Drosophila melanogaster: one gene and its partner. The protein of the gene in region 1 purifies or fractionates together with the protein of each later gene. This does not show direct contact. Each region holds a gene or a part of one and is shown in the gene's direction. Other genes may lie near its edges. The genes, in order: Synj and EndoA.

Evidence for each region.
Region 2: the proteins of Synj (region 1) and EndoA purify together in Drosophila melanogaster (affinity purification with western blotting; 3 studies listed by BioGRID). This does not show direct contact.

The regions. Positions count from the first base shown.
Region 1 is NT_033778.4:22,072,890-22,089,504, forward strand, and holds Synj (synaptojanin), read left to right. Parts: upstream 1-7,286; 5' UTR 7,287-7,316; intron 7,317-7,553; exon of another isoform or gene 7,554-7,649; intron 7,650-7,795; exon of another isoform or gene 7,796-7,874; intron 7,875-8,185; 5' UTR 8,186-8,290; coding exon 8,291-9,748; intron 9,749-9,815; coding exon 9,816-12,014; 3' UTR 12,015-12,035; intron 12,036-12,102; 3' UTR 12,103-12,532; downstream 12,533-16,615. Other genes in the region: CG11474 (uncharacterized protein), read right to left, coding at 1-5, 73-178, 323-411; CG2921 (uncharacterized protein), read right to left, coding at 706-1,015, 1,078-1,810, 1,866-1,982, 2,040-2,316; GlcT (glucosylceramide synthase), read left to right, coding at 3,461-4,783; CG13502 (uncharacterized protein), read right to left, coding at 13,003-13,677, 13,840-14,397.
Region 2 is NT_033777.3:18,898,892-18,914,260, forward strand, and holds EndoA (endophilin A), read left to right. Parts: upstream 1-7,717; 5' UTR 7,718-8,129; exon of another isoform or gene 8,130-8,308; 5' UTR 8,309-8,375; coding exon 8,376-9,485; 3' UTR 9,486-9,559; exon of another isoform or gene 9,560-9,614; 3' UTR 9,615-11,864; downstream 11,865-15,369. Other genes in the region: CG14297 (uncharacterized protein), read left to right, coding at 1-344; Rh2 (rhodopsin 2), read left to right, coding at 587-685, 782-1,698, 1,781-1,814, 1,869-1,964; CG14294 (uncharacterized protein), read right to left, coding at 2,879-3,298; CG34284 (uncharacterized protein), read right to left, coding at 3,566-3,895, 3,972-4,016; CG14292 (uncharacterized protein), read right to left, coding at 6,134-6,586, 6,662-6,715; Sgsh (N-sulfoglucosamine sulfohydrolase), read right to left, coding at 12,369-13,943. UniProt on the Drosophila melanogaster protein: Required presynaptically at the neuromuscular junction. Implicated in synaptic vesicle endocytosis.

The DNA.
Region 1 (16,615 bases):
GCTGCCTGGAATGCAATTTGATATCAAAGGTTTAAGCTCAAGGTCAAGGTAGAAGTGCACACAACTACCCACCGCGCCATATGTGGCCAGGAGGACGTCCTTGTCCTTGACTAGGGAATCCGCGATGGTGGCCAAGGTCGAAGGCAGACGCACACGGAAGGTGTAGTAGGCAAAGCTCCTGCAATAAATGACTTTTAAGTAATAATCATAATTCAATTCCACAGCTTGGATGTGTGGGTAACGATGGGTCGGCGTATTTGTTACATATGCGCGGGCCATTTAGACACCATCTATAGTAGGCGCTATATTTAGCCCTACTCACTGCTTATAGAGGGCCGCCAGCTCGGTGTGGGGCGGGGTTGGTCCGTCCACGATTCCATTCTTTGCGTCAAAATCCGTTTCGCTGCCCATTTCGAGGATCTGTTTGTTGCTCCAGCCGAATTGTACTGCTGCGGAAAGTTTATAAATTGATAAAGTGGCGCGTAGTGTGACCGCTTTGGCGGTGATGGAAAATACCGAAATTGGAACCGATAATTTACAAGGCGATACTTTTTGAATTTTCAAAATTTGTTACTTATGTTTCAAGTTTTTTATTGTTTCATAGCAAAAAAGGTACATATATGTATATATTTAAGACGTCTTTGGCTTCTAGATATGTAACGACTATTTATTACCAATAATTTAAGCTGACCAGCCTGTACAAGATTAATAGCCAAATTCACGAGCTCCGTCAACGAACTGAATGACCCCATAACTGCCCGAGACCATCCAGCGCGGATCCTTCACACTCAGCGCCTGGCCAACGCCCTCGGGCAGGCCGGAGATAACTTCGCTCTTGACCCGCCGCAGCACACAAATGTTGCTGGGAAGGAAGCCACGGAGGCAGGTGCTGAGTTCCTGGGTGGGGTCCCAGCAGACGTCCTGCAGCAGCTTGCGATAGTTGAGCTCTCCCTTGAAGACCACCAGCTTGGATAGCTGCAGGGAACTATACAAATCTGGATCCATTTGCGCCATGCTGCAATAGTCAAAGATGTAATTAGGAGGCACTGAATATGCAGTCATATCCGGAATGCGAACCTGTAAAACGAATGTGGTGATGTCCAGAAATGCGAGATTGGCGCCAGTTCGAACTTTCCCTCATCGATGAATTGTAGGAACTTCTTTCCTATCAGACTTATAATGTAGTCCGCATGCTCACTCAAGTACTCCAGCGTCCACTTGAAGTCCCGCTCCGTCACATCGGTGACAAACCAAGGGTGGGCCTTCACATGGAACCGCACCTTGTCGGCCAGTCCCTTCTCAATCATGAACTCAGCCAGTATAAAGTCGCTAAAGAGTTCGTAGCCTGCATTGTCCAGTATAAAGTCCACCTGCTTATGCTTCTTCAGTTTAGGGTTTTCCAAGCACCTCCAAATCTCCGCTGCCTGGTTAACCAGTACGCGCTCATCGGTGTTTGCCACTTTCTCCAGCACCTGGCGGTTCGATTGCTTTACTGTATCCGTGTCGGTCGCCACATCATTGCAGTTGCTCCACATGTTGATCCTCAGAAGCTCGTCGAACACCTCCACGCTGTTCTCTGATCGTCGTGTGTACTTGGTCAGGGCCAGTATATCATCAATGCTATCCGTTAGCGCCTGCTCCTTGACTTTGGCAAAGAAATCGTATGACTTCAGAAATACGCTGTTTTCCAGAAAGGAGTGGAGTTTGCGGTGCAGATAGCACTCGGCATGGAGGGAGCTGGCTTTGTAGAAGCTGCGTTCGCCATCGGGCAGGTTGCTGATAAAGTTGTTCCAAACATCTCGATCGGGTTCTAAGAAAACAAGGCTTATAATCCTCATGAGAATTCTATGAAGCTAGGAACTAACCTTCGCCAGTAAAGTTTTGAAACGATTTGTCCGTTTGCAGCTCGTACTTTAGCCTGGAGATCAATCCAATAATGATCTTTAGCTCCTCGCGGGCAGCCTGTGAAAATTCATTTGAGGCTGGAAGAAGAAAAAGTTAATGGAGATGCCAAAAAACGCTTGCAGGGATTAACCAACCGAATTGGGCTACCAGCTCGGATTTGTCCCGTGTCAGCGTATCTATCACGTTGGTCAGGATCACGGGCAGCCGACTCCGGAGTGTGAAGAAGGCAAAGCTCTGCTTGTAATGGCCCGACATAAAGGCATTGAGAGGAGTCTGCAGGTTTACGATCTGGTATTTGGCATCGAATTCCGTTCGCAACAGTCGCGATATTTTGCTGGGTTCCGAGTCCGTTTTGCCTTCGTCCTCGGGCAGTTCGCCTTCCGAGGAAGGGTCCTTCGATAAGGATTCCATCTTTTCTTTTTTTTTGTCTGTGATTTTTGTGCGTTTACTGGTGCATTTTAGCAGAATTTACCTGATTTTGACTGATTTTTCAAAGCTGCAATCTGTTTAGTGTTGCCTAACGCACGTCACACTGCGATTATGCGCAGGACTGTTTGTGAATTTGATTTGTTAAGTTTATGCGCGAGTGTGAATTTTTTCATTCTGACTTATTTTTAAAATTATAGTTTAACAGATAAAACTCCTCATGAAAAATATTCAGTTGCTTAAGAAAATGCAATTTACCACATTCTTGTTTATTTATTTTTCATTTTTATTAATATGCTAAAATTTTTCAAGAAATTATATTTAGTTGGTTGAGAATAGATGGGTTTTTTTTTCTTTTATTTAACGAAAAGGTTGAAGTATATTTCTAAAAAATTTAATGAATAATACAGGACGTTAGTGTCGTGGTTATCAATTATATGTTTAAGTTGTTTCAGCTTATGGTTTTATAAGCATCGCTATTTGAATACAAGCAATATATTGTTTTAAAATTTTAAACAATAATAGTTTTAATAAATACATATGAATGTGAAAATTAAAAGAAAAAATGCAAATACGTTGTTACGTAGTTAATAACGTAAACATATTTTTTTTTTTAGATATATGCATGTTATTAGATATTTTACATATTTTTTACATAAGTAGTATTGAAAAATCATAAGTATCGGTAATCAGCTGTCTTACGAACAGTGCTGGAAATTGGGAAAGCGTGATGGCTTTTTTATCCCCTTTTTGCTTCCGCATCTGATTCATAGCGCTGCCAACACTGCCCCTTTATTGCAGTTTTATTTGGCAAACGAACGCGACGCGAGGTCTGCAAAATGTTTAAAGCGCGAGGAACGGCCAACCAGTGAGTGCACCTCGATTGATCTGTTCGATCCGATCTGGTCTCGCAATCGGGCAGCGCTAAACCGCAGGGCAACCGCAGCAAATGCCATCGTGAATAGAAACGCCCACCCGCACAGACACACGAACGGGGATTTGGATTTGAGTTTGGACTCGGAGTCACCACACACGCACACACTCGCGCGGACCCTTGGAGCACCACCCGCACACACAAACACACACCGCACACCCCGCCAGCCACACACACACACGCACACCCGCAACGATGTCACACCTACCATTGCCGCTTTATGGCTTCGCGGCATTCTTCATGGTTTTCTGGCTGGGCACCTGGATGGTGCATGTGATAGCCATCTGCTACGGGCGCTACAAGCTGCACAAGAAGTCCTGCAAGCTGCCCACGGAGGCACAACCCCTGCCAGGTGTCTCTATTCTCAAGCCCCTCATGGGCGTCGATCCCAACCTGCAGCACAACCTGGAGACCTTTTTCACCATGGACTATCCGCTGTACGAGCTCCTCTTCTGCGTCGAGGACAAGGAGGACCCGGCCATACAGCTGGTGGAGCGACTGCTGGCCAAGTATCCGCTGGTGGACGCCGCCCTCTTTGTAGGTGGCTCCGACGTGGGTGTCAACCCCAAGATCAATAACATCCATCCAGGTTATATGGCCGCCAAGTACGACTTTGTGATGATCTCAGACAGCGGCATCAAGATGAAAGACGACACGCTGCTGGACATGGTGCAGAACATGTCCGAGAAGCACGCCCTGGTCCATCAGATGCCATTCACTTGCGACCGGGACGGATTTGCGGCCACCTTCGAGAAGGTCTTCTTCGGCACGGTGCAGAGCAGAATCTATCTATCGGCCGATGTGCTGGGCATCAATTGCCACACGGGCATGTCTTGTCTGCTGCGCAAGGCTGTCATAGACCAGCTGGGCGGCTTGCGAGCATTTGGCTGCTACTTGGCTGAGGATTTCTTCATCGCGCGCAGTGTAACGCGACTGGGCTGGAAGATGCGCATCTCCAATCAGCCGGCGCTGCAGAACAGTGGTCTCTGCGACATCGGAAGCTTCCAGGCGCGGCTCATTCGATGGGCCAAGCTGCGCGTGGCCATGGTCCCCACCACCATACTGCTGGAGCCGCTCTCCGAGTGCATGATCCTTGGCGCCATAGCCGCCTGGTCGGCATCCGTGCTGTTCAGCTGGGATCCGCTGGTGTTCTACCTGGTGCACGTGCTCTGTTGGTTCCTGTCCGACTGGCTGCTGCTCTCCATTGTCCAGCATGGCTCGATGCCGTTCCACAAGTTCGAGTTCGTCGTTGGCTGGCTGTTCAGAGAGCTGACCGGACCCTATCTGTTCCTGCACGCACTCTGGAATCCGGCCATCCGCTGGCGCGCCCGCACCTACAAGCTTCACTGGGGCGGAGTGGCCTACGAACTGAACAGCCTCGCCAGCGATGCTGCCAACGACCCGCTGGCGCCGCAGCCACAGCCCGCACCCACGTTAGAGCCTGCGGTAGTCAACGCTGGAACAACGGGGGACACGCTGATCTGCACGGGCGCCAAACAGCGACTGCTGGTGTCGTAGCACCTAATAGTTAAGTTTGTTATTTTGTACTTGTGAGCAAACGAACTCAGCGGACTGCAAGCGACTGGCGGGCGGCGTCTAGCGTCTGGTAGTAGTATTATTAGCTGAACCTTAGTCACTACGTAAGTCTAGACTTAAAGCTGTAAAAAGGCGAATGCGGAGCGGCATCCACGCACTCCTCCTGGACGTGAAGCGCGGCAGGCGGACCTAGATTAGTTTAGAAGACACTGTTTAGACGACGAGCGTATCGCTGCGATCGCTCGCCAGAGATTTAGATGTAGGCGTTCGAGTAGATCGACCCGGGCGCATTTTGGTGGCTTCATGGAAACTGGTTAATGATGATGCTTTGTGTATATATATATAGCGTACATATTTTGTAGCCAGCCTGTACAGAGACGTAAGCCCTAGTTAGCATTATGATTGCGATAGTTAGTTCTCCCCGCTTCTGTTGTTGCTTTATTGAGTTGTAATTATTTATTTTGGCCAAGCACACTAGGTATACTGTTATCGCTAAGCCTATACTTATGATTATTTTTAGTTAAGTTGTTTGTGTTGTTTTTTGTTTGCCCCAGCTGCTGTACATAGGCGCCAAAAGGGAATGCCATTGAATAAATCAAATCAAATCGAATCGAATCGAATCGAAACGATCGTGAGAATGAAAACCCATTAGGTTCTGATTGATGTTTATTTACAGTATCGTTTCTCATAGATCCCCCCTCTTATCAGTTAGCTGACTCAGGGGCCTTTTGGCCAAATAGGTGAGAAACGTTTGGCTGAGTCACACCATCGACCATAGTCGGTTTCAGCGTAATTATCACCGCACTCACTTGACTCGACCCTACGCTCCTAATGCGGGCTTGGCGGCGATTGCGCCCCTGTTTGTGTCTAAGTTATGTGGGAGGTGATGGGTCAGGCTGGTGGCGACCATTATAGCGTACTCTAGATGCTGCTCGTAGAACCTTCCAGTCAAATGATCGCATGGGATTGGTGTGGGGGAAAATTCTTTCGATTTCTTTCCACACAGCCAGCCCCTTATCTTAATGAACTTAAGCCATGACAAGCGAGAGACACAAAAACATATTTATGAATTAAATGACTACAGATACGAGAAGCGGGCATATCAGCGGCAAAGGGAGGGAGAAATATACATATATACATATGTGGTTGGACCTTCGATGCAGGTCCGGAACCAACCTAGGCCGACGCCTTTAGCTTACGCATTAGGTTATAACAATATAACAATTAGGCGCAGACGCATTCAAATGAACCAGGCGGGGTAGATGATATATTTGGTGGGCATACACTATTAACGACTGCTGATACTTTTTTTTTTGCACAGCCGCCCTGCCTAAAATGGGCGAAAATGCAATTTAAACGGAATGACGTACTTGGGGGGAGTGCTAAAAATTCCGAAAGCGGCCATATCTTGCTGGAATTATGTAAATTAATCAATCGTTATCAGTACCCAAGGCACGGCAATCCACTCGAATTTCAGTTAAGCGATTAGATAACATATGGGGGGGAATGCGAAAACCCTTCGACTAGAATTGTTGCTTCGCTTGCCAAGAGCTACATATGTATGTAAGCCGAACTATGGAAATAATGTACGAGTATTTGAGTAATTAGTGCGTATTTTTTAAATCAATTCGTATTCTAAGCCTACAACTAGTCAAACATACTTATCGAATAAACTGAGAAGCATGACCAATATAAATCTGACTTTATTTACTTTTCTGGTTCACAAAGAATGCGATGCAATGCAAATTTATTTGCGTCCTCCGGTTTCTGATAAGGCGGATTGGAATGAATCACCCGATTGTCTGTGATTTACAATTAGAGGTTTTGTTGCGACCATTGAGATTACTCAAAATGTCCGCAATGGGGCTATCTAATCGAATTGGAGGAGCATGGTGCGCACGTGAGAAGTGCCAAAAAAAAAATCAGAGCATAGTGAAACAATAAATAAATAATCATTACATTCCATATGTGCATACGGACCAATGCAAACAGTAGGCGATTAAGCGTTCTACATTCTATCGTAGCATGCAATTTTGAGTGACTAAGCTCCATGAAACGTTGTTTCTGAGACCTAATTATCTTAAAACAGCATTGAATTGCTTCCTGTTTGCCGAAAGAAGCGCAAGTGTAATCTTAGCATCAGAAATATTGCCAACTTTTTGGGTCGTTTCTTATCATATAATTTGAAAAGTGTGCAGTTTTGGGACAATTGAGATAAAGACTATATTTGTCCCAGTTTGATGAAAAATGGTTCAGATACTTCAGGGCACTGAGCGAAGCCCCTAGCCTCGGGCTATCGTCAAGTGTCCGCCGTAATCTTCAAAAGTGGTCAATACACTTGACTTTGATGTTTTAGTACACAATTTAAATTCAAATCTTTAGTTCGGCGCGCAGATCTCTGTCAACAGCTCGATAATTATCGAGGCCATATAGAATGCTGTCGTTTTCCGGCTTACCAAATACGGTCATACCACCCAAAGCTCTCCAGAATTTTGCAATAAAATCGCAAACAAAGGTATTAGGAGTATTAAGAGGCGTAAAAAATTCATTTGAGGAGCCAATAGTTTCGTGAAATCTAGTGTTTCCTCTTTTAAGTGGTCGCCAAGCATGCCGTTCGTTGGCTGCCTCTAAAAACAGTCAAATGCCTGTGCAAATTTCTCGTGAAAAATCCATAGAATGCACAAAAAATGTTTATCAGTCACTCACAAACACACGCACGCGCCAGCAGTGAGTGGGAGAGAGCGAGAGAGAGCACAGCTGCCGCCGGTGCATGTCATTGCTGTGTGTGCGTGTGTGGGTGAACTTGAGTGGGAGGCGGAAGATATTGGAAAAATTCCTCCGCTTTTCGGTTTGTTTATGTTTAAGAGTTGCCTATTGATTTTTAACAGGCGCCCGAAATTTTAGTGCCATTTCGGTTCAAAGTGTCTGTTGTACTAGTTGAACTTTCCCATTTCCACTCACCTCGTGCAAATCCTAAAATTAAAAGAATCAAAAACTTTGTGGTATTAAATTAACCCCAAATTTGAGCTCATTTGAGCTATTACGAAGTGCACAAAATAACTTAACTTAGCAAGTAAAACACTCACCAAAATATTTTTTAAAACTTAAAAAAACAACGAATGTAGCGTAGTTGATAATAACTTATTACTTAGTAAAAAAAATATTACGATAAATTAGTTTTAAAAGTGTTGCTCATAAATTGAAATCGAATGAGTCCTATAATTGTAGCATTGCAAACGACGAATCCCAATATTAAACCTACACCTTAAAAACGAAGTACTATTCTTATAAAAATAATAGATCTCTATTATGTAACTGATACACCCTTTAAAAATGTAACTTGTGAAATACACCCACAATTAAATTGTATTTCCCCACCAACAGATGTCTTAGCTTTAGCTGGACGCAAAACTTAAACTGCAGACAGTAAAGGACGAAATCACATTACTCGACTCAAAAGAAGACACACGGAAGAGAGATACCAACAAGATGGCCATGTCCAAGGTGATCCGTGTGCTGGAGAAGTCCATTGCCCCCTCGCCGCACAGCGTATTACTGGAGCATCGGAACAAGAGCGACAGCATCCTGTTCGAGTCCCATGCGGTGGCCCTGCTGACCCAGCAGGAGACGGATGTCATCCGGAAGCAGTACACCAAGGTCTGCGACGCCTACGGATGTCTGGGTGCCCTCCAACTAAACGCCGGCGAGAGCACCGTGCTGTTCCTGGTGCTGGTCACCGGCTGTGTGTCCATGGGCAAGATCGGCGACATCGAGATCTTCCGGATCACACAAACCACTTTTGTCTCGCTACAAAATGCAGCGCCCAACGAAGACAAGATCAGCGAGGTGCGCAAGCTGCTCAACTCGGGCACCTTCTACTTTGCCCACACCAATGCCAGTGCATCGGCATCCGGAGCGTCATCGTATCGGTTCGATATTACGCTTTGCGCCCAGCGACGCCAGCAAACGCAGGAGACGGACAACCGTTTCTTCTGGAATCGCATGATGCACATCCACCTGATGCGCTTCGGTATCGATTGCCAGTCCTGGTTGTTGCAAGCCATGTGCGGCTCCGTAGAAGTGCGCACCGTCTACATCGGTGCCAAACAGGCCCGTGCCGCCATCATTTCCCGACTGAGCTGCGAACGGGCTGGCACGCGTTTCAATGTCCGTGGTACCAACGATGAGGGCTATGTGGCTAACTTTGTGGAAACCGAGCAAGTGATCTACGTGGACGGCGATGTTACTAGTTATGTGCAGACGCGAGGATCGGTGCCACTCTTCTGGGAACAGCCAGGCGTCCAGGTTGGCTCGCACAAGGTGAAGCTATCACGAGGATTCGAGACATCGGCCGCCGCCTTTGATCGACACATGAGCATGATGAGGCAACGTTACGGCTATCAGACGGTGGTGAATCTGCTAGGCAGCTCCCTTGTTGGCAGCAAGGAGGGCGAGGCCATGCTGAGTAATGAGTTCCAGCGTCATCACGGCATGTCAGCCCACAAGGATGTGCCGCATGTGGTGTTTGACTATCATCAGGAGTGTCGCGGCGGCAATTTCTCGGCGCTGGCCAAGCTCAAGGAACGGATCGTAGCCTGCGGTGCTAACTACGGCGTCTTCCACGCGTCCAATGGTCAGGTGTTGCGCGAGCAGTTCGGTGTTGTGCGCACGAATTGCCTAGACTGTTTGGACAGGACAAACTGTGTGCAGACGTATCTCGGGCTTGACACGCTCGGTATCCAGCTAGAGGCTTTGAAAATGGGCGGCAAGCAGCAGAATATTTCGCGGTTTGAGGAGATCTTCCGACAGATGTGGATCAACAACGGAAATGAGGTCAGCAAGATCTACGCCGGCACCGGGGCCATCCAGGGGGGATCAAAACTAATGGATGGTGCGCGATCTGCAGCAAGAACAATTCAAAATAACCTACTGGACAACTCAAAGCAGGTACATTGTGGTTTTCAATTAAAAATTCAATTTATTATTTACATTACTCCCGTTTTTTCATATTTAGGAAGCCATTGATGTCCTGCTAGTGGGCTCCACGCTTAGCTCGGAGCTTGCGGATCGGGCTCGCATCCTACTGCCCTCCAATATGTTGCATGCACCTACCACTGTGTTGAGAGAGCTATGCAAGCGCTACACTGAATATGTGCGTCCTCGAATGGCACGTGTAGCCGTGGGTACCTATAACGTCAACGGCGGCAAGCACTTCCGCAGCATTGTGTTCAAGGATTCGCTGGCCGATTGGCTGCTCGACTGCCATGCCCTTGCCCGCTCCAAGGCGCTTGTAGATGTGAACAATCCGTCGGAGAACGTCGATCATCCGGTGGATATCTACGCCATTGGATTCGAGGAGATTGTGGATCTGAATGCTTCCAACATAATGGCGGCCAGCACCGACAATGCCAAGTTGTGGGCCGAGGAGCTGCAGAAAACGATCTCGCGGGACAATGACTACGTGCTGCTCACATACCAGCAACTGGTGGGCGTGTGCCTATACATCTACATCCGACCGGAGCACGCGCCGCACATCCGGGACGTGGCCATCGACTGTGTTAAGACAGGATTGGGTGGTGCCACTGGGAATAAGGGTGCCTGTGCCATTCGATTTGTGCTTCATGGTACTTCCATGTGCTTCGTGTGTGCCCACTTTGCAGCCGGACAGTCACAGGTGGCTGAAAGGAACGCTGACTACGCGGAAATCACCCGGAAGCTGGCCTTCCCGATGGGCAGGACGCTAAAATCACACGACTGGGTGTTTTGGTGCGGCGACTTCAACTATCGCATCGACATGGAGAAGGACGAATTAAAGGAGTGCGTACGTAATGGAGATCTCTCAACCGTCCTCGAGTTCGATCAATTGCGCAAGGAGCAGGAGGCTGGCAATGTGTTTGGCGAATTCCTCGAGGGAGAGATCACTTTCGACCCGACGTACAAGTATGATTTGTTCAGCGACGACTACGACACCTCGGAGAAACAGCGAGCGCCCGCCTGGACAGATCGGGTTCTCTGGCGTCGCAGGAAGGCGCTGGCCGAGGGCGACTTTGCTGCCTCAGCCTGGAATCCCGGCAAATTGATTCACTACGGTCGTTCGGAGCTAAAGCAGAGTGATCATAGACCCGTGATCGCTATTATTGATGCTGAGATAATGGAGATCGATCAGCAGCGGAGACGTGCTGTATTCGAGCAGGTTATCCGAGATCTGGGTCCGCCGGACTCCACGATTGTGGTACATGTCCTGGAGTCTTCAGCAACTGGAGATGAGGATGGACCAACCATATACGACGAGAATGTGATGTCAGCCCTGATTACCGAGCTATCCAAGATGGGAGAGGTCACTTTGGTGCGCTATGTGGAGGACACCATGTGGGTCACATTTCGGGATGGAGAATCGGCTTTAAATGCGTCTTCTAAGAAGAGTATCCAAGTATGCGGATTAGATCTTATCCTGGAGCTGAAGTCAAAGGACTGGCAGCATCTGGTGGACAGCGAGATAGAGCTATGCACCACGAACACCATACCGCTGTGCGCTAATCCTGTAGAGCATGCACAACTCCTGCAGGCCATTACGCCGGAGTTGCCCCAGCGGCCCAAGCAGCCGCCCACACGTCCCCCAGCCCGTCCCCCAATGCCTATGTCGCCAAAGAACTCACCACGCCACCTGCCCCACGTCGGGGTCATCAGCATTGTGCCCAAGCCGGCAAAGCCACCGATGCCACCGCAACCGCAATCTCAACCTCTAATTCCGTCGCCGCTTCAGCCGCAGGTGGCGCCGCCTCGTCCGCCGGCAATGGACACCACGCCATCCTCCAAATCGCAATCGCCAACGGAACTTGTATCCGCTAGTTCTTCGACGTCCTCTTCGGGAAAGACTTCGCCCACAGCTCCAGCTGTGCTCTCCGGTCCGCCGACGCCGCCGCGCCAAATGCAGAGCAAGCAGGCCACACCCGTCTCGACGCCCACGCGCCAAGTCGGTTCGCCCAAGGATCCGATTCCATCTGATACCGCCTACGAAACCGCCAGTAATATTTACGAGGAGATTCAGGAGGATGTGCCTGCGCCACGCCATCCGCCGCCGGCTGGACCGCCGCCAGTGATAGGAGCACCAATGGGCCCGCCGCCACCGCTGCCGAATCGCAGGGGCCCACCACCCATACCAAATAGGAGCGGCAATGCTCCACCGCTGCCCACGCGACCCGCCAACAACTGAGCTGCAGGCTACGCACACGGGGTTGGTTAAGAATTCAAGAAATATCAAGCGTAATCCGCAACTAATCATATAATGGCTATATTTACAGCTCGCTGTCTTGCACTCCGATTGCATTCCGAATCGCTGTATTTAATGTTATATATACTCGAATATATTGGGCCACTCTGGAGGAGAACTCCTGGCAATATCCGCACTTCGCATGGAATCTATGTTACTACCTGTTTGTTTGTTTCGATAGTTTCTAGCCGGAATCAAACTGAATTTAAAGTAAACAAATAAGTTCCACATAGCTAAAGCCCAAACTACCCCACTCCGGTACTCTCTTTTTTTTTTTTTTACTTACTGGCCAGACGTACTCAACCCAATTGCACCGGATTTGCCGAGGGCGAAGAATGAATATAATGAAGTATATGGGCGACAAAGTATTACACTAATCTGCATAAATGTAATGTTTAAATAAATTATAGCCGTACTAGTCAAATTATGAAGTAAAGTTATAAAAACTGAAGAAGCAATAGAACTCTGTAAAAGATTCCGATTCGAGCGACACACCCAAACACATGTATCCATTGTTATTGAACAACTATTGAGATAAATTACATATTATTCCACATTGTTAAACTATCGTTGTATTCCGTCAATTTGAGGCTACATCCGGATTTCTGTTTCAGTTGACTACAAATATATATCAATGTAATTGAGAAATTCCAATTGCTCTGTTCAAAAGTTGAAGTTACGCCTAAGATTAACCAAGTAGCATACTACAAAATAAAAAAGTTGGACCGTCGTAGTCGCTGCTCCAAGTGAATATTCGCAAAATGCATTGGAAGTTAATAAAACTCAATACAAGAGTCAAGTAAAATTACCTGAGAGTTTTCGTAATTAATTGATTTATTTATTCAATACCAGCTTATCAAGCCAACTCAATTCAAACAGAAACTTAACACCGGGAGCTGAACAAGTCAGTAGTATTGGGCAGCTGGATGGACTAGAACCATTTGGGCAGAGCGTCATGGGGCAGGTTCTTATGGTTGGGCAGCGCCGTGCAGGGACGCTGTTGGCGCCAGAACTCCTGCCGTTTGTTGAGAAACTCCACCGCCTCGCGGGCGTACGCGGAGATGCTCTCCGTGTGTGTGTCCGCGCGGACCAAATCCGGATGGAGCAGCAACTTCTCCAAGTACTCCTTGTCCACGCACAGTTCGCCCAGCAGCTTGCGGGCGTTGCGTCGTTCCAGATCCGCTCGACTGGGTTTCTGCCGCGTCCTGGCACTGGTCCCCGTTGCTCCCGCTGCCTGGGATTTAGGTGTATCCTCGCCGGACTTCCGTGACTTTCCGCTCTTGGGAACAGATGCTGTTGGTCCTGGTGGACCCGGCTTGCTGCCGATGGTGTTCTCGATGGCCTCCTGCGTTTTCTGAACGCCCAGGCGAAACAAAGCCAGTTCCGGACGAGCCCTCAGACCGCGATGGAAGAACATCAGGCTCTGCTCGAACTGACCGAGGTAGTACAGCGACTCAGCCTTCTGGTAGATGGCCCGAATGTTGTTCTTGTCCTCTCCAAGAGCCGTCTCCGCATCCTGCAGTGCCTTGGAAGCCTCGCCCAGCAACAAGTAGCACTTGCTACGCGAAATCAAAGCATTGATGTCGGTGCTATTCAGCTCAAGAGCCTGAAATTTTAAGGTTTTGTTAGCTAGTTTTTAATATGTTATGGCAGATCTTAGAAAACTAAACGGGACTTAACAGCGGTATAGATTCTATTAAAAAGAGAAAACCTGCTTAACTAGATGACTCTGAAATCTGAACAGTTCCAATAATGAAACCAGGAGCACCTTGCAAAAAAAGTGTATGGCGTTCTCGGGATTGGCATTCTTGATCTCCTTGAGCCCCAGTGCGATCACCGAACTGATGTCCGCCTCGTCCGGGATGAGCAGTGCCTCGTTGCGGTCCTGCTTCTGCTTGATCTGGAGACTCTGCTTGATGTCAAATGCACCAGCGCTGACCGCTGCCGCCCGATCTTTGTCCGTGTAGAAGTCGACGAAGTTCTCCTTGGGCTTCTTCTTCTTGGCGATCTGCTCCTCGATCTTTTTGCGTGCCGCCCTAAGTTCGGCCTCAATGCGATTGCCCCGCTTGCCGCCCGCAGCGTCGCCTCCTGCTCCTCCCCCAGCTCCTCCGTCATCCCCCTGCTTTCCATCCCGTCCAGCACCGCGTCCGCCCCGATCAGTGGACTCGCGCCTCTCCCAGATGGGAGGCTTGTGGGAGCGACCCTTGGACCGCCGATTGGTCTCATCCTGTGACTCCTCCTCAGCCGCTGCTCCGGTGCGTATGAAGCTTTGCAGCAGTTCCTGCTCCTTGTCCACAGCAAGAATGGTGTTCAGCACGTTCGACATATCCTTATAATACCCTTGGCAATCGCTGGGAAGAATCTTCAACGTCCGACGATTGGAGTAATCCAAAAAACTCAACTTCTGACCAAATCACTAGCCAATTGATTGGCGCTATAATGGGTTGTTGCCAGGAAACTGGCGCCACCAAATGGGTTAGCAATCGATAACAAAACAACCACTCGTGCTGTGCCAGGTGCTACATATCAGGTGTCAGGCACCAGGTGTCGTGTCGTTTGGCGGTGTGAATGCCAAGAACAATGGCCTCCATGTGGGTCACGACCTTGGGGACGCCCTATTAGAAGGTGAGAATGCATATCCACTCCGATCTATCCTCTTTTCTCAGTGGTCCTCGAGATTATCATATTTTAAACTAATTTTTTGGTTAATGCTTAAGGAATCGAGTTGGGATTTTGTTAACCATGACTGGCTTACGGGGCGTATGAGTAACTTTCTTGATATGTTTTGAGGGGGACTTTAATTTCCTTAAAATTACGCATATTAAAGTAGCTCCTTTATAACACTAAAACTATCAACGGTATCTTTTCTCAATACGTTTTTTGTTTGCTAGCATAGAGGAATAAATTGGCATACGTGTCGTATGAGTAATATAAAAAAATGTAACAAAAAAACCTTAATGTAAACTAAAACTTATCATTAAACACTTGAACAATCTTGGCTATAAAAAAAGCCTTTCTATAGTGTTTCTATATGGTGTTACTCTACAGGTGCTTGTTCAACTACGTTAAGAATGTCAAACTGTGCTCCTTTGTTGTGAACTAAAACCTGTGCGAAGCTTTCAGGAGCTTTTAGCGGATGTCCTTTCCCGCTAAGTGATTATCCTTCTTCACGAACAAAGCATTAAATGCTTAAAAGTGAAAATGAAACACATAAAATATCACCGCCTTCGTTTTTATGTACTTTTCGAAAATTATGAAATTAAATAAAAGTACATAGATTACTTTTATCTTAATTACATATTTTTTAAATGCGATAAAACCCGTTTCAAATATCCTCAACTGTGTCTAATTTAAATGATTCACTTTGTGTAAAGTTTATCAAACATTATTTATAGTGCAATTCGGAGATGGTATTCCCAATTGCACTTTATTATTTGATGGAAATAATTCTGCCTAGTCTTAACTGTGGCTAGTAAGTTTCCCAACACACCTGGTTGTATCCAAACAAAGCCTTCTCGTAGGCCCGAACCTTCATGTGGTTATTGGATTGATCGCATAGCAGTTTAATATTGGTCTCGATCTCCTCGAGAGTATCGACCTTCGGTTTCTTGCGCGGCATTTTAAATTCGGTATTGTTAAGTAGTTATAGTGGCTTATTGAGATGGTGTATCGTAGTAGTTTCACATTTTTCACCCTTCAAGCCTGTGACTTCTTCACTCCGTAGTCTAAAATTGACGTCTGAACGCGACGGTTGTCGTTGAGCAACTGAATTATGTGCCTTCACTTTGCATTTGACCCAACTTGGCTCGCTTCTAGACCCCCAATCCATGGAAAAGGCACCCCATCACAAGCTGCAACTCAGGGGTTCCGGCTTTTCTTTACTTTGTATACCAGTTTACATGCGCTGACAAGCAGCAATAAACTTCAATAAAGTTTCATTAATATCTCAACAAACCCTTCTGAGCATTCTGAAAAGCCACAATATCCTTTGGATACCACAAAATATTAGTTTTTGTTATGAAACATCTACTAGCTGATTCATTTTGTCATCAGCTGTGACTTTAATAACAGAAAATTATTTGTTTATGGTGATTAGATCACATAATGTGCAGTGTCAATTATACATGTTACATGAACTCTATTTCACTTTAACAATAATAAAACTCGAAAAAAATATAAAACAAACAATTGTTTTTTACATAATCCCTTCTTTCTGTGTAGACTTTGGATCGCTGAAAAGGCGGATTCACCGCATTTACACGCAGTTAATTGAAGTCATCAAAATTAAAACCCAACTCCGGACGGGGAGTCACGCACCCGAGCCCGGCTGATAAGAGAAGGCCAACGGAGAAGGAGTCAGACAATCGATTTGCAGCAGGTGAAACCCATTTGGCAGCACCACCACCGAAAGAACCCCTCTTCCACCCATTTGGGTTGGTGCGGTAGTGAGGGGAAGTACATTCGCCAGTTAAGGACATTTATTTCGACAAATTTATGAACCCCAACAAATTGCTATTAATTTTCCGGTATTGTTTTTAGAGTAA
Region 2 (15,369 bases), on another chromosome or scaffold:
TTCGATCCGCCTATTACCAAATCAAAGAGTGCTGCAAGCAGCTCATCCTTAGCCAAAAAGTGGACATTGTCAAGTACGAGCTACCCAGCACTGATGATGATGAGCTCTACTACTCTGGCAAGGATAATGCGCCGCAGGACTCGGCCAAGGCGAATCACTTGACGGAAACAAGCCATAACAACAGTGGCATATATCTGCTAAACACGGAGATAAGATCCTCCGGTGGACTGATGTCCTCGTCGACCGACCCATCCAACTCGAAGACCTCGATGCCATCCTGCAGCCAAGGAGTGCAGCGAAAACTGTGCCAGAAATGTGGACAGAAATTTCTGGCTGCCCTTTAGTGTCAAGAACTAATATTCAAAGGCGGCAAATTAACCTTGCGCTTAGATTATGTAGCGTATGAAATTAAATAAAATTGACTTTTATCTGGCAGCTGTCCGCCGTCTATAAGTCTTCTGCGCCTCTTTTGATGAGCGGCTAATTGGGTTAGCAAACATCTATAAAGGGCTGGGAATTCGGCCTCTTGGCACAGATCCACTTCGATGAGCCATCGTCTAGTCAAAGGGGTTGCGGGTAGCTGAGCATGGAGCGCAGTCATTTGCCGGAGACGCCATTCGACCTGGCCCATTCTGGGCCCAGGTTTCAGGCCCAGTCGAGTGGCAATGGTTCCGTGCTGGACAATGTGAGTGATTGGGGGAAATGATTTATGTTAGTTCTAGTTTTAATTGTAATCCTTTGTGGTGGCACTTCAACTTATTGCCTTCTTGCAATCCCGCAGGTGCTGCCCGACATGGCGCACCTGGTGAACCCCTACTGGAGCCGCTTTGCGCCCATGGATCCCATGATGAGCAAAATTCTGGGATTGTTCACCCTGGCCATTATGATCATCTCGTGCTGCGGCAACGGAGTGGTGGTCTACATTTTCGGTGGAACAAAGTCGCTGCGCACGCCGGCAAATTTGCTCGTTCTCAACCTGGCCTTCTCCGACTTCTGTATGATGGCCTCCCAGTCGCCGGTGATGATTATTAACTTCTACTACGAGACTTGGGTGCTGGGTCCGCTGTGGTGCGACATCTACGCGGGATGTGGCTCGCTCTTTGGCTGTGTGTCCATCTGGTCCATGTGCATGATTGCCTTCGATCGGTACAATGTGATAGTGAAGGGTATCAATGGCACACCCATGACCATCAAGACGTCTATAATGAAGATACTTTTCATCTGGATGATGGCTGTCTTTTGGACTGTCATGCCATTGATTGGATGGAGCGCCTATGTGCCCGAGGGCAATCTGACTGCCTGCAGCATTGACTATATGACGCGTATGTGGAACCCGCGATCTTATTTAATCACCTACTCCCTCTTCGTTTACTACACTCCACTGTTTCTCATCTGCTACTCCTACTGGTTCATCATTGCCGCCGTGGCAGCACATGAAAAAGCGATGCGGGAACAGGCCAAGAAGATGAATGTGAAATCCCTGCGGAGCTCTGAGGATTGCGACAAAAGTGCCGAGGGAAAACTGGCCAAGGTGGCTCTAACTACCATCTCCCTATGGTTTATGGCATGGACACCATACCTTGTCATTTGCTACTTCGGACTCTTCAAAATCGACGGATTGACCCCACTGACGACCATTTGGGGAGCGACTTTCGCCAAAACGAGCGCAGTCTACAATCCGATTGTGTACGGCATTAGGTGAGTGAATAAATAGGTTTAAAAAAAAAACAATTTCCGTTTGATATCTATATCTAATTTATATGTTTCTTAACTTCCTTAGCCATCCCAAGTACCGCATAGTTCTCAAGGAAAAGGTATACCTTTTTAGCCATTCTAATGTTATTCACTAATCCTTTCTCGCCCTTTAGTGCCCTATGTGTGTGTTTGGCAATACGGATGAGCCGAAACCGGATGCACCCGCTTCCGATACGGAAACTACATCTGAGGCGGATTCAAAGGCTTAAATCGTGAAAAAAAACCAACGCAATTGCCTGCAAAGGGCACAGAAAAGTTTAAAAAAAGTGATGCAATATCGTAAAGTGATACAAAAATGTAAAAAAAAAATGGAATAAACCTCAGTATAACAAAAAGTAGTTTCCTAAAACTTTACAAAATAAAGTTAGTTTGCAAATTGTTTTGAAACTTACTTATTTCTAATAGTATTAAATATTGTAAAGTTGTAAATCTTGTTACCAATGGCTAGTTTGTGTTTAAACTATTAATTATACAAATTTCTCGTACACATATATGTAGCTATATATATATAGCTATAATTTTAAACCCATTAAGTTCTAAAAAGCTGCACCATTCAATGCTGACTTCCATATACCCAAAGTATTCAGCGACATCTCCTACGAACGCAATTAAATCACAGCAAATGATTGAACTTGTGAATGGAAATATGCATGCATTTTGCCACTCACTCATTGCATTCTCATTAGTCCCCCAAACCCAAAACTCTCGTAATTTTGAACTTCCACGAAGGCGGACCCTCCAGCGTTGCAAAATCAACAATGCCAGTCGCAGAGTTCAACTCCCTGGCGTCTCGGGCAGATTCATCTTCATTGACACACATTTCCACGCAGCTAATGTCGCTATTTGCTTTGTGAGGGTTTTGTCTCGCGTCTAATGATTATAATTACGAAACAGCCACCACCCACGGCCTCCAGCCTCCTACACAACCCACACCACTCATTTGCCTAATGAGCACTAGAATGCCATCCCCTCCCACCGAAATCACACCCACCCAGATTGAGATGAAAAGCTGCACTGACGGGTCTCGAGTTGACTGTCTAATTAAAGTACATCAGAAAGCACTGGGTGCAAAGAAAACAGACTCGTTGCCTGCCAGCGATCCTGGGAAGACTCCAGGGTATTATCAGTGCCAGATTTTAAGTCTGCTTGCTCCGCTCGCCTGTCGCTTAGTGGTAATTTGGAGGAGTGACCTCAGCCTTTCCATGTGCAGACGGGTGACGTGCTCGATGCAGTCCTTAAACGTTTGCTCCAGCTCACCACTGTAGAATACCTCGATGCATTTGGTCGTTTCAGTGTATGCACTATCCAATACTTCACGGGCAGCAACCTTCTTCTGATTCTCCAGCTTGACGTAGAAATCGTGGATCTGCGCATCCACGTTTTTGGCTGCCCTAGATGCGGTGTGGATTCTATGCTGGTCGTCGTAGTTCATCTTGGAGGCCACAGCTTTGGCCATTTGCTCCCATCGCGGATGCGCTGCTATCCATATCGTACACAAAAGTGTTATCAAAATAATACCGAAAATGGTTGACAGCCAACTCATTGTACACTAAGTGGTTCGAACTAAAAAATTTTGTGATTCTGTTTAGAATAAATGGCTGTCATAGGCAGTACACACCTTGACATCTCTATACAAAAGTAAAATTCCTTAAACACAAGCACGAAATACAACATAGTAAAACAAATCCATCCAACCCTAATAACTTTTTATTATTCCGAACATATTCCAAATCTGTATAACATATTAGACTTCTATGAGATTCCTAAATATTCCTCTATGTGGTTAAACTTTGTAAGATGATTACGTTAATTAGCAGAAGAAGCCAATTCGGGCGGCACCAGAGGTGGCTCCATAAATGGGCCAGTGTTCCGCGGCCAAGCGATCCAAGGCAGTATAAAAGCCAGCGAAGACGGCTTTAACACAAGTCTTGTGAAGATCGACACCTTGGGTGGATTTCAGCTCAGCCTCGCAATGGGATAAAGCCAATTTCAGAGTGTCCAATTGGTCATTGGCATCGTTCCGGGCCTCAACACTGTTGGGTAGCTTTCCTTGGGCCACAACTTGAGCGATTTTGAACTGTTCATTGGCCCAATCAATTGACTGTTGCACGGCCACATTTTGGCCAACCGATTGTCCGGTCTATTGAGCGCATATATATGAAAAAATAGATTATTTTTAAAGATTTTTTTTTGTGTTTAGTATTATTTTCAATTACCAAAACAACCAAGACGCAGAAAGCTATCAGCACTGCACTCGACATTTTCTGGAAACTTTCAATGACCGACTGAAGCACAATTTGAAAAACTCGAAAGACATTCAAACTTATCTTCTGTTTGCGCTTTGATAGAGTTTACAGCCTCCATTATCTCACCATCTATCTGAGTGCAATACGAAACGATAGCCTCAACCCCATTATGTTTTATGTTGGTCCATAAGCGTATATTTGCTGGATTAATTAGATAACTTTATCAGCGGAAGTGGCACTCGGGAATCAAATAACAGTAGCAAGTGCTAATAGCAAACTACGGATGAACACCATTCAGTTTGTGGGATGATTCACTATTGGATTGGAACTTTGGTCGTGAACGGATTTAGTTTTTGCACTAATTTTTGCGACCCACAATATCGTCGAATAACAAACGAACTAACGAACTTTGACACAGTCCAAAGCCGCAGAAATTTTGTTGCCTACTTTGGGGGGCACACACAACTTTTGCATCAAAACAAAAAAAGCCGCAAACCGAAAACAAATTTCCATACATGCACTTTCCGTAGAATCCCTTCGTATGTGTCGCATTTTGCTTTTATTTCTTTTTTTTTTGTTTTTTAATTTTTTCCTCTAACCAATTTCGGATTTATATATACTCTTAGTTGGGCAGTTGCGGCTGGATTTCATTCTGTGCTCGAAATTACCATTTTTTGTTTTGCTGCTGCTGCCTGAATTTCAAATGCCGCAACTTTTGCATTACCAAAACAGAGCTTAAGGCGGTTCATTCGGTTGAGGTTTAGTTACGGAGGGTTGGTCGATCAGTTCGCGGCTAACACTACACCAAAGTTGGCCAAGTTTGGCCCGCATTGTTGTAATGACGACGAACAAACTCGAATTTCAATACCGAAATACTTTTATTAATTGGCCCAAAACTTTTGCACTCCCCATCTTGTGAAGCGGCGGATGTTGTGTATGTTGGAAATTTACATTTAATTAAATATTTCAATCTGAATTCAAACTCGCCCCCATTTAGGCATTGTTCGTGGCTTATCCAACATCCAATGGCCCCTTCGTCATTTGGTCATTTGGTCATTTGTGGCCGGTCCTTGGCTCGTTAAGCCAAGCCATTTAATAACCACAGGTCCTAAGCCCGGAATTCGAATTGAAATGCAAATCCAAAAGCCATATCAAATCGAATCGATTCGATTCACATCGAATCGAAGGGCAGGATGGCCGGCAATTTGAGTGAGGACATTGGATAATTGGAGCTGCACTGGCACATAAATCAACATTGCCGCCGCAACTGGACGCAACTCAAGCGAGCTGACTCCCGACCCTCAACTCAAAGGGCTCCAATTGAGAAGCAAATCATGCACTGGAAACAATTGATGGCGCCAATGGAAAAGTGCATAAAAGGGCTGTCATAACCCCGCAAAATGAGCTGGGCCAGGGAGGTCAGGGAAACAAAGCAGAGGAACTCAGTACAAATATTTGACCAAAATGCGTCAAGTTCCATGCGATGGCCAAAACGATTCAAGTGTGCGTCGAAGTGATGACGACTTGGCCATTATATATTTCACTGAAAATTAAGTCACTTCAGTTGCATATATTTTTTAATGAAATATTACGATTTAGCTTAATTTTGGTATTATTGGATTAAGCTACTTAAAGCTAAGCTATAGTAACTTTTTTAATCCTGCAAGTTAGCATATTAAAACTATTAATTTATAAAAATTATTTGCTTAGAACTTAAGTTAGCATATTTCCCCCATAATGACAACACTAACTTTCCAAAGCATAAGCATCCTTTTAGTCGAGGTCGAACCAGGATTTTCGTGACGGTGACGTGAGCAGCCAAGTATTTGCGCCCCGAAAAGCGTCAAGAAGGCAAACGCCAAAATTTGTAATTCCCGATGGGAAATTTAATAAAGCAGCGGAATGCAAAGCTCGGCCGGCCACATCAAAGCATGTCCTAGGTCAGGAGTCCTTTGGCCTCCCCCCCCCTCCCCCCCTTACCACACACACACACACACACACCTTTGCACCCCTTAAACCAGCATAGGAAATTCCGGCATTAGGCTTATTTAAATTTTATTGCATCTATGTTGGTCGATTGCTAAGCTAGGAAGTATTGGACACTAAGGCAGCCGGAGGACAGGACTAGAATCCTAGGCAGCAGCTGCTCCTGTGGGACTGGCGGTGGCGGCCAAACGGGCCTGCCACTCGTCATCGATGGCCTTCAGCTGGTTCTTGGCCGTGGTCAGCAGAGGCTTGACACAGCGTATCTGCAGCCAGGGCAAAGTGGCGTTGTTGCAGCCACTGATCGACTCCTCCGAGGTGGCCACCACATCCAGGACGCGCTCCGCCAGGTCGGCGGGAAAGTCAGGCTGGGAGAGCAGACGCTCGGCTTCGCGTTGCAGGACTATCGACTGGAAGAATGAGGAAATCGAGGCGCCTCCAAAGGGAGCAGACGGTGCCACGGGAGCGGCTACACCGGCGGCAGCTCCTGTGCCAGCACCTCCGAAAATTCCATTTAGGAAGGGATTAAAGGCAGCCGCATACGGATTGGCGGCGGCAAAGGGATTTCCGGCAAGGGGATTTCCAACAGTAGCTCCAGGGCCCTTACGAGTAAATTATGATAATTCGGTTACATAATAATCCACTTAATGGGGGGGCCCATATCCACAACTCCTCACCTGTGCACTGATGCAGGCAATGCTGGCCGCCAGTAGAACAATTGCGAATTTCATTTCTTTTAATTTATCTGAGTTCACTTGGTTCTCAGTCGTTGGGTTTCGTCTAGACTAATTGCCAAAAGCACAACGGCTTGCGGCTTTTATACGCCATTAAAAACACGGCAGGGAGATCTTATCTCTGATATCTCAACTATTACTACTGCGATTGAACTGATTTACATGTTCATTGTTTGTTCGGTGGTGCTAAGTACCTCTCGGGGGTTATCTGTTCAGATAGAGCCAGAATATATAAAAAAAAAAAAGGTGGTAAAATTGCTACTTCATGCTGTGAACGTCACTGGTTTTTACGATGCAAATGGGGTTTAATTTTTGCCTGGGATATATTTGCCACCTTCTAGAAAGATAAAATTGACTGCTGTGCTACTGGTTATTTTGCGCACAGTTATTTTGGTAAACAGGATAAACATGATATTTTCTTATCCATTCTGAGTCATTCCATTTTTATCTTAGCGTAACATTCATCAGCAGTTATACAGCTTTATTTTTGCTGAGTACGTTTTCTATCAATATAATATATTTATGTATTGTAATGTTAGAATTTTACGCGCCAAACTGTTATTCTAATCTAACAGCTATTCGATTAACAGCATGTACAAGGACAGAGCAAATACAGAGACCGACAGTGGGACCGACCATATTTATTCTAGTCTAATAATTCTGCCAATCAACATAGATTTCAAATTCAAATTTATAATGCATTAACATTATAAGTATTAGATATTAAATGTAAGATATTATGTTAACTGTTTATGTGCTTCTGGCTTCTTAATATAAAATATATATATTACTTTAATTTTTAATATTGTTTTGATATATATATATAACTATCTAATACCCCCCTGCAAAGAAATTAAATGAAAATGTTAAGTTGTACCTCACATCTTTAACATATGCCTAGAGATGAGCGTATCCCGTGTATGTCCGTTGTTGTATGCGAATGATTTTGGTATTTTACGAACCACCGGTCACACTGAATGTTTTTTAACAGAATTATCGATAGTCCCGCAGCTCCAGTGGCTTAGTGCCGTTGAAAATTGTTGTACACAGTCAAGATATTGATTTTTGCGAGCCGAGAGGAAAACGCGACCCCACAGCCCCCGCCCCCTGTGCGCGACCAGTAGTAGTAGTAACGACTCACGGTCCTTCAAACATTACGCAGCCCAAGGTTCTGGAAAAAATCGAAGATTACGAGCAGAGCAACAAAAAAAAAAACGGGGCAGAACGTGCAGAGCAAGCGAAGCGAGTGAAAGTGCCCGCAGTAGTGGTCAGCAAAAGTAGAACTCGAACTCGGGCTACAGTTCACCAAGCCAATTCGAGTTTCCCGACTCGCAGCCTCCACTGAGCGAGCAGAAGAGCCCCGGAAAGTAGCACCCCCAGCGGAGAAGGAACGGAGAAAAGTGCAGTACGCGTAAGTCTTCCAAACGTAAACGTTTTAAAAATAGACACACTCAGCCAGCCAGCCAGCCAGCCAGGCAGTCGGGCAGTCAGTGAGGCAGCCATCCAGTCCATTGATGAAATTGTTGACTTGATGATATTGACATTGAATTTGAAATCGAGTCTCGACTAACCCAACCAACCCGTTCACAGCAACTGCGTCGAGCGCCCCAAGACCAATTTAATCAGAGGAAGAAAACCAGAAGAGACAGCAGCAGCCATGGCTTTCGCCGGACTCAAAAAGCAGATCAACAAGGCCAACCAGTATATGACGGAGAAGATGGGCGGTGCCGAGGGCACCAAACTGGACATGGACTTCATGGAGATGGAACGCAAGACGGACGTCACCGTGGAGCTAGTGGAGGAGCTGCAGCTAAAGACGAAGGAGTTCCTGCAGCCGAATCCAACGGCACGGGCCAAAATGGCAGCGGTCAAGGGCATCTCGAAGCTGTCCGGACAGGCCAAGTCCAATACGTATCCGCAACCGGAGGGCCTGCTCGCGGAATGCATGCTGACTTATGGGAAGAAGCTCGGCGAGGACAACAGCGTGTTCGCGCAGGCGCTCGTCGAATTCGGCGAAGCGCTGAAACAGATGGCCGACGTCAAGTATTCGCTGGACGACAACATCAAGCAGAACTTTTTGGAGCCACTGCATCATATGCAGACCAAAGACCTCAAGGAGGTAATGCATCATCGCAAGAAGCTGCAGGGCCGGCGGCTAGACTTTGACTGCAAGCGTCGCCGACAGGCCAAGGACGATGAGATTCGTGGTGCCGAGGACAAGTTCGGTGAATCGCTCCAGCTGGCCCAGGTGGGCATGTTCAATTTGCTCGAGAACGATACGGAGCATGTCTCCCAGCTGGTCACCTTTGCCGAGGCACTATACGATTTTCATTCGCAATGCGCGGATGTCCTTCGAGGCCTGCAGGAGACACTGCAGGAGAAGCGCTCCGAGGCGGAGAGCCGGCCACGCAACGAGTTCGTGCCCAAGACGCTGCTCGATCTGAACTTGGACGGCGGTGGCGGCGGCCTCAACGAAGATGGCACGCCGTCTCACATTAGTTCGAGCGCCTCGCCGTTGCCCTCGCCGATGCGTTCGCCCGCCAAGTCGATGGCCGTAACGCCGCAGCGCCAGCAGCAGCCCTGCTGCCAGGCCCTCTACGACTTCGAGCCGGAGAATCCCGGCGAACTGGCCTTCAAGGAGAACGACATTATCACCCTGTTGAATCGCGTCGACGACAATTGGTTCGAGGGCGCGGTGAATGGCCGCACCGGTTACTTCCCGCAGTCGTATGTTCAGGTGCAGGTGCCCCTGCCCAATGGCAACTAGGCTATTCCTCATCCTGTTCCTCGTATTAATCCCGATCCCTAAACCAATCCCATCCTATCAAACTGGCTGAAGACGTACGTAGATCGCTGATTGGAGAACAATAACCTTAATTGTTGGTTTCGCCACCAGAGGCGCGAAATTGGGCAGCCCAAGCCGATGCAGAAGCAGGAGCAGCAGAAGCAGCAGCAGCAGCACATAAATGCAAATATATATATATAGTTGAATTAGATGAGCGGGTTACTACGATTACGGATATTACGATACGGCTTAGCTAGCAGCACACAGCAGGCTAAATTCATGGTGGCCATAGAGCAAGCTAACTAAATTTTATGTGCAAAATTATACCAGTTGGCAACACAATAATTAACAAATTAACTACGAGTTAAATTAATGTACGTATTAACTAACTAAATTTACAAGACGTTACGCGCGCAATGCCACTTCCTTGCGTTTTTACCTTTGATTCTCAAACGTCAGCTTTGTTGTTCGTTGCAAGTTGCGAACATTTAGTACTACTTCACACAATAGATCGATCACGTATTAGAACAGTTGGTCCGGCGGCAGAAGCAAACAGAAAAACACTCTAGCTAATTAACTAAATTACCCGTGTAATCTTAATCACGCCCATGGAGGCGCGTCTCTTTTGTCTTTCCACCTGAGTTCTTCTAGCCTCCAGTTTTCGGAGGTCTTTTTATCCGGTCTCATCGTTGTAATTTAAACCAACCTACGCCAATGCGCTCTCTATGCAAATGTCCCTTTATAGGCTAAAGCTACGTATCCACACCATACGCCCGCCCACATGCATATACATATTTATTATATACCCGAAAATACCTACATATACCTACTCTACCTACGTATATTTGTGCAAAAACAATACTCCCCACACTCTATTCTAAAAGGCATACGGAATACCGTTCTTGATGTTCGTTGTTCAATGTAAAGAATAATTCAATTCAATTTTTCGAGGATGAAACAAGCGAAATTTGTATCCTACTTTTTGCTCCTTTTTATGTGTGTTGTTTTTTTTGTTTGTTAATTATATACATAACAACTATATATATATATATTAAATGAAATCAAATATATGTATAAATATATTTATTAAGCGTATTATCTACATGTATATTTATTATTATGTATTTATTATAAATTATACTGAGCAGCAACGTAAACAATATAATGAATATTTAAACGATGATAACAGATAAAAAGTACTAGCGGCAAGTAAATGTAACAGAATCCTCCTAAACAATACCAACCAACAAGCATAATACTAGTTAAACGATTTCCACAAAAATGTTGATAATAATAACTTTAAACGTAAGCAAAATCCAGTCAAGTCAATCGAAGCATAGCAACACTTACGAACCTACTAACGCGTTTACCAACCGCAACTCTAGATCAAATATTTATATATTTAACGAGATAATAATAAACATTCGACGGCAAACCGATAAAATGATTCAAAATAGTCTCATGTTGGCATACAGCTATGCACGATATACATACGAATGTATATACATATATATACTCGTACGTTTAGGAATGATATACACAAGATACATATATATTTACGTATGAAGAAAACCATTGAATTGAAAGCCATGCAACTTGTGTTGATAATAAATTTGTTAAATGCCAAGAAAACATTTAACAGAATTATATATTCGAGTGCGAAGATGAAACATTTGCCTCGTGGACGGACAGACTGCCAGTGCGAACATTTCCAGAGGATACCCCATCTGGGGAGGATCCACCCATCGCCTGGAGACTATCTTTCCACGCGATACACACTTGCCCCACGTGCAGCGGGGCCCGAACTTCAAACAATAATTATTGTAATTTTGCATTTTTGTGTGGGCGGTAACTTGAATAATATATATTACAAGGCATATACATAATAATAATAACTATGCTAAAACTGAAGACCCTAATTTATGCAAACCAAAATTAATAAAATTTAATTTTTAATGTGTCTTTCGTTCAAAGTCATAACTGAGAAACAACAAAAAAAAAAACAAGCAAACGTCGTTTACTCTTTGATATTTCCCATCTGACCTTAAAACCATAAAACGTGCTGCCTGTTGTGTAACACAGAGACTCGAATGCTGCTGGGAATGGGTGGTGGTGGGCGATGTGGGAATCCGGAGGCGCCACCAATAAACTACAACAGAAGCATTGAAATTTTCGATTTTCCACACACAGACACAGGCAGCCGCCAGCACACCCTCCCCTCCCCTATCCCACTGACCCAGTGGGCATGACATTGAAACGTGACGCAGCATCCAACCCCTGATGCCCACGCCTCCAGTCCAAAAAGTGGGTGAGGTCATGCTGCCAGGACACGAGTGTTTGCCAGTCTGGGCTGATGCAACCAATTCAGTCAGTGGGGGAATCTTCAGTCTTCTTTCTTTGCCAATTCTGTTGGCTATTTTTTTGGCATTGCGCAGGTGAAAATCAAGGCAATATATTTTTATCTGTTTGTTTGTAAAAAGCAATTAAAGTTTTCCCTTAATGTAAACTTGGAAATTTGTTCAAAGAACATACATATGTACATACTCTAAACAAATGCTTAATTCTTATGATTACCATTGCTTTTGAAAACATTGATCTTTTTATTAGCCATGCTTAAAGATTAGCAGCTCGCTTCAAAGTTAAACAAAGTTTATTATTGAAAGTATTGTATGTTACTTTTTTTTTATTATTTTAATAAGAATATACATTAATATAATATTATCATTTCTACCTTTTGCAATTCCTATTTGTATGACCGCAACTGTAACGGCATGTGAAGTGAAAAACATTGGCATGGTTGAGTTATCAACCATTGGACATGCGATAAGACAACACACCCAATCTATTGAATACTCTTAGTCAGACCTACGAGAAGACCACATACTCCTCATACTGACCGAGAATCCTGCGCTTGGGCCGCTGCAACGCCTCGTGGCCCAAGGTCAGACAGACGGGCTGATCCTTGTAGACGCCCTGCTCCTGGAGCACAGCGTGCGGAGCACATCGCCAGGGATCCTTGGTGGCTACCTGCCAGTCGAACAGTTGCTCGCGTAACTGCTTCAGGGTGCCATTGTACTTGGCCTTATCGGCCAGATTGAAACGCTCCAAGGGATCCGTCTTAATGTCGTACAGCTCCCATTCGGGTCGCTGGTAGTACTGCAACAAGGAACGATACCATGGCAGAGTTTGCTTCCTGAGAGTGGCATTCAATATCTGCTGGAATGTGGGTGAAGTGTAAAAGTCCTGGTCGATGGGGAAGTCTGCCCAGTAGTTGATATTATGGATAAGCTTGTAGCGCCTATTGCGCACCATTCTCATGGGATAGGCCATGGTCACCTCGTGGTAACTGTGACTACCGAACACCGAATCGCTCTCCTTGATCGGAGGTTCCTCCCGCAGTACTGGGAGTATCGATCTGCCAACGATTTTGGTGTCATTCGGTCGGGGAATCTGAAGAGCATCCATTACACTGGGGTATATATCCAAAAGACTGACCATGGCAGCAGTGGCTTCATGATGACGATCCTCCTTATTGGGAGAGCTAATGATCAGGGGCGATCGTATGCCGTGCTCGTAGAGATTGGTTCTGCCTCCGGGAAACGGTGGTCCATTGTCGGAGGTGTAGATCACGAGTGTCTGATCTGCCACGCCGGCTGCTTCTAGCTCCTTCAGCATTAGACCAACTCCCTGATCCAACCTCGAGATGGTCATGTACTGAGCAGCCAGCTCCTGACGCACTACATCCGTGTCGGGCAGCCAGGCGGGCACGTCCAGGTTACGCCAATCGTAGTAGATGGGCTTCCAGTCGGGTATGCTGCCCATTCCCTCCTCTCCGCTGCCCCAACGCTCACAGAATTCTCCAAACTGCGGGGTGATGTGGCCACAACGATGGGGATCATGGAAGCCGACCATCAGGAAGAAGGGTTTCTTTTCGTCCTTGGCCTGCTTGAGAAACTGCCTGGCATACTCCTTCATCCGGGTGATGTTTCTGCCAATCTGGTTGATGGAATGCTGCTCCTCTGTTTGCTCGAAATCGAAACGGAAATTGTTGGCGGCCCCAACATGTTTCTTGCCAATGATGCCGCTCAAGATCCGTCCGCCACTTTGATCACGGATTAAATTGGGCAGCGATCCGGTATCCGGAAGAACATTGAAGTTGTGCACGCCCTGATGGAGTCCATACATTCCGCTGGAGTGACCAGCCTGGCCGGTGAGCAACTGCGAGCGACTGGGACTGCAACTGCTTACCGAGGTGAAGGCGTTGTTGAAAAGCAATCCGCGTTTTGCCAGTGCGTCCAGATTGGGAGTTTGGCAGAATTTGTTCAGATAGGCGCCCGATTCGAAGCCGGCATCGTCAGCCAGAAGCAGCAGGACATTCTGCGGGCCAGCGGAGCAACCAGCAATTAGCCATAGTGTAAAAATCCACTGCAGAAATTGCATGTTGACATAAATCCAGTTCCAAATCCAAATTAAATATATTTGAGAGCGCAGAACAAAGCGATTCTTCAGTCGACGTCAGCGTACTGAAGTACGGCTCAAGAGAGCCGCATACTTTTAAGTGTCCACAAAGCCTCTCATTTCTCCGTTCTCCGTTTAAGACGCATTCAATTCCATTCCCAGTTCCAGTTTTAATCTCATCAACACAACAAATGCTCAGCGGGAGCGCGCCTAGGTACATTCACTTTGCCCGACTTTCTTTGGGAGCGGTTTGACTACAGTCAACACACCATACAGAGAACTAAAGTGTGAGGGTACTGTACAGTCATACGATTAAAGAATCATCATAAATATCAGTGAGATATATCTGAACAGTATAAAAAACAGCACTTCCACAAAAAAAATGTTTCATTTGAAATTTAAAATGCTTTAAAAACACTTTACATTTATAAACCATTAAAACACAGCCAATGAGCTGTTATAAAACATATGTACATTTAACTAGTATATATTCAACTGTATTGTATTGTAACATTTTGTGTACTTTGGTAAATTATAACCCGCCATATAATAATAAGCAGTATTCTTTTGTGACAGACATGGAAATAGATTTAAATCACCAAGAGTTTGGTTTGCATGACTCTGGCCATTAGGTGATCAACACGTTGTACTTTCTGATTTTATCTTGCGCCATGGAGAAGATAAAAGCAGGAACAGTGTCGCCAAATGGAACCACGTCAGGGTGTCAAGGCCAATCGCAAAGTGCAATGCGATTGTATGTTTTGAAAAATTATAAATCTACAAAACAAATGTTCGTTCTGCTTGTTTAGGCTTTTCTGTGTCGAAATGCGCAGTTTCTTCCAGCGACTAAAGAGTTTTCACATTGGGTGAGCTCATCTTATGTAAGTGGACAACCCCCAAAATGAATCATCGGCCGGCTAATTTAAGCCAGCCAGCCAGCTACAGTTTAAGCCACCCCCTTTTTGCCCTGCACCGGTGTGAAAATTTCGCCCAACATGTTTAACAACACTATGAGTTTTCCAAAAGTTGTGGCAACATGTTGCCAAGAGATTTTCGCAGTCTCTGGCAACAAGCCAACAATACGAATCAGCTGGGCCAGACTAAAACAGCTGTTGCAACGTGTGGCAAGTGTTGCATCAGCCAATCTCAACCAGCGAGAGAGAGTTTCACTCACGTGGAGAGAAAGAGTGCGAATCTGTATTGTTTGTTGTTGCTGCATGGCAGGCTGCCAAACCAGTTGCCCTATACCTTTTGGAGCGGACATAGGTGACATATGTAACCATAAATACTTACATTTACATTAAAAATCCTGTGAATGATCATATGAATATAAATGAATATTTAGGCGCGAAAAAATACGCAAAGTATTGAACTATACTTAAGTTTCGCGGCTTTTTATTAAATACCA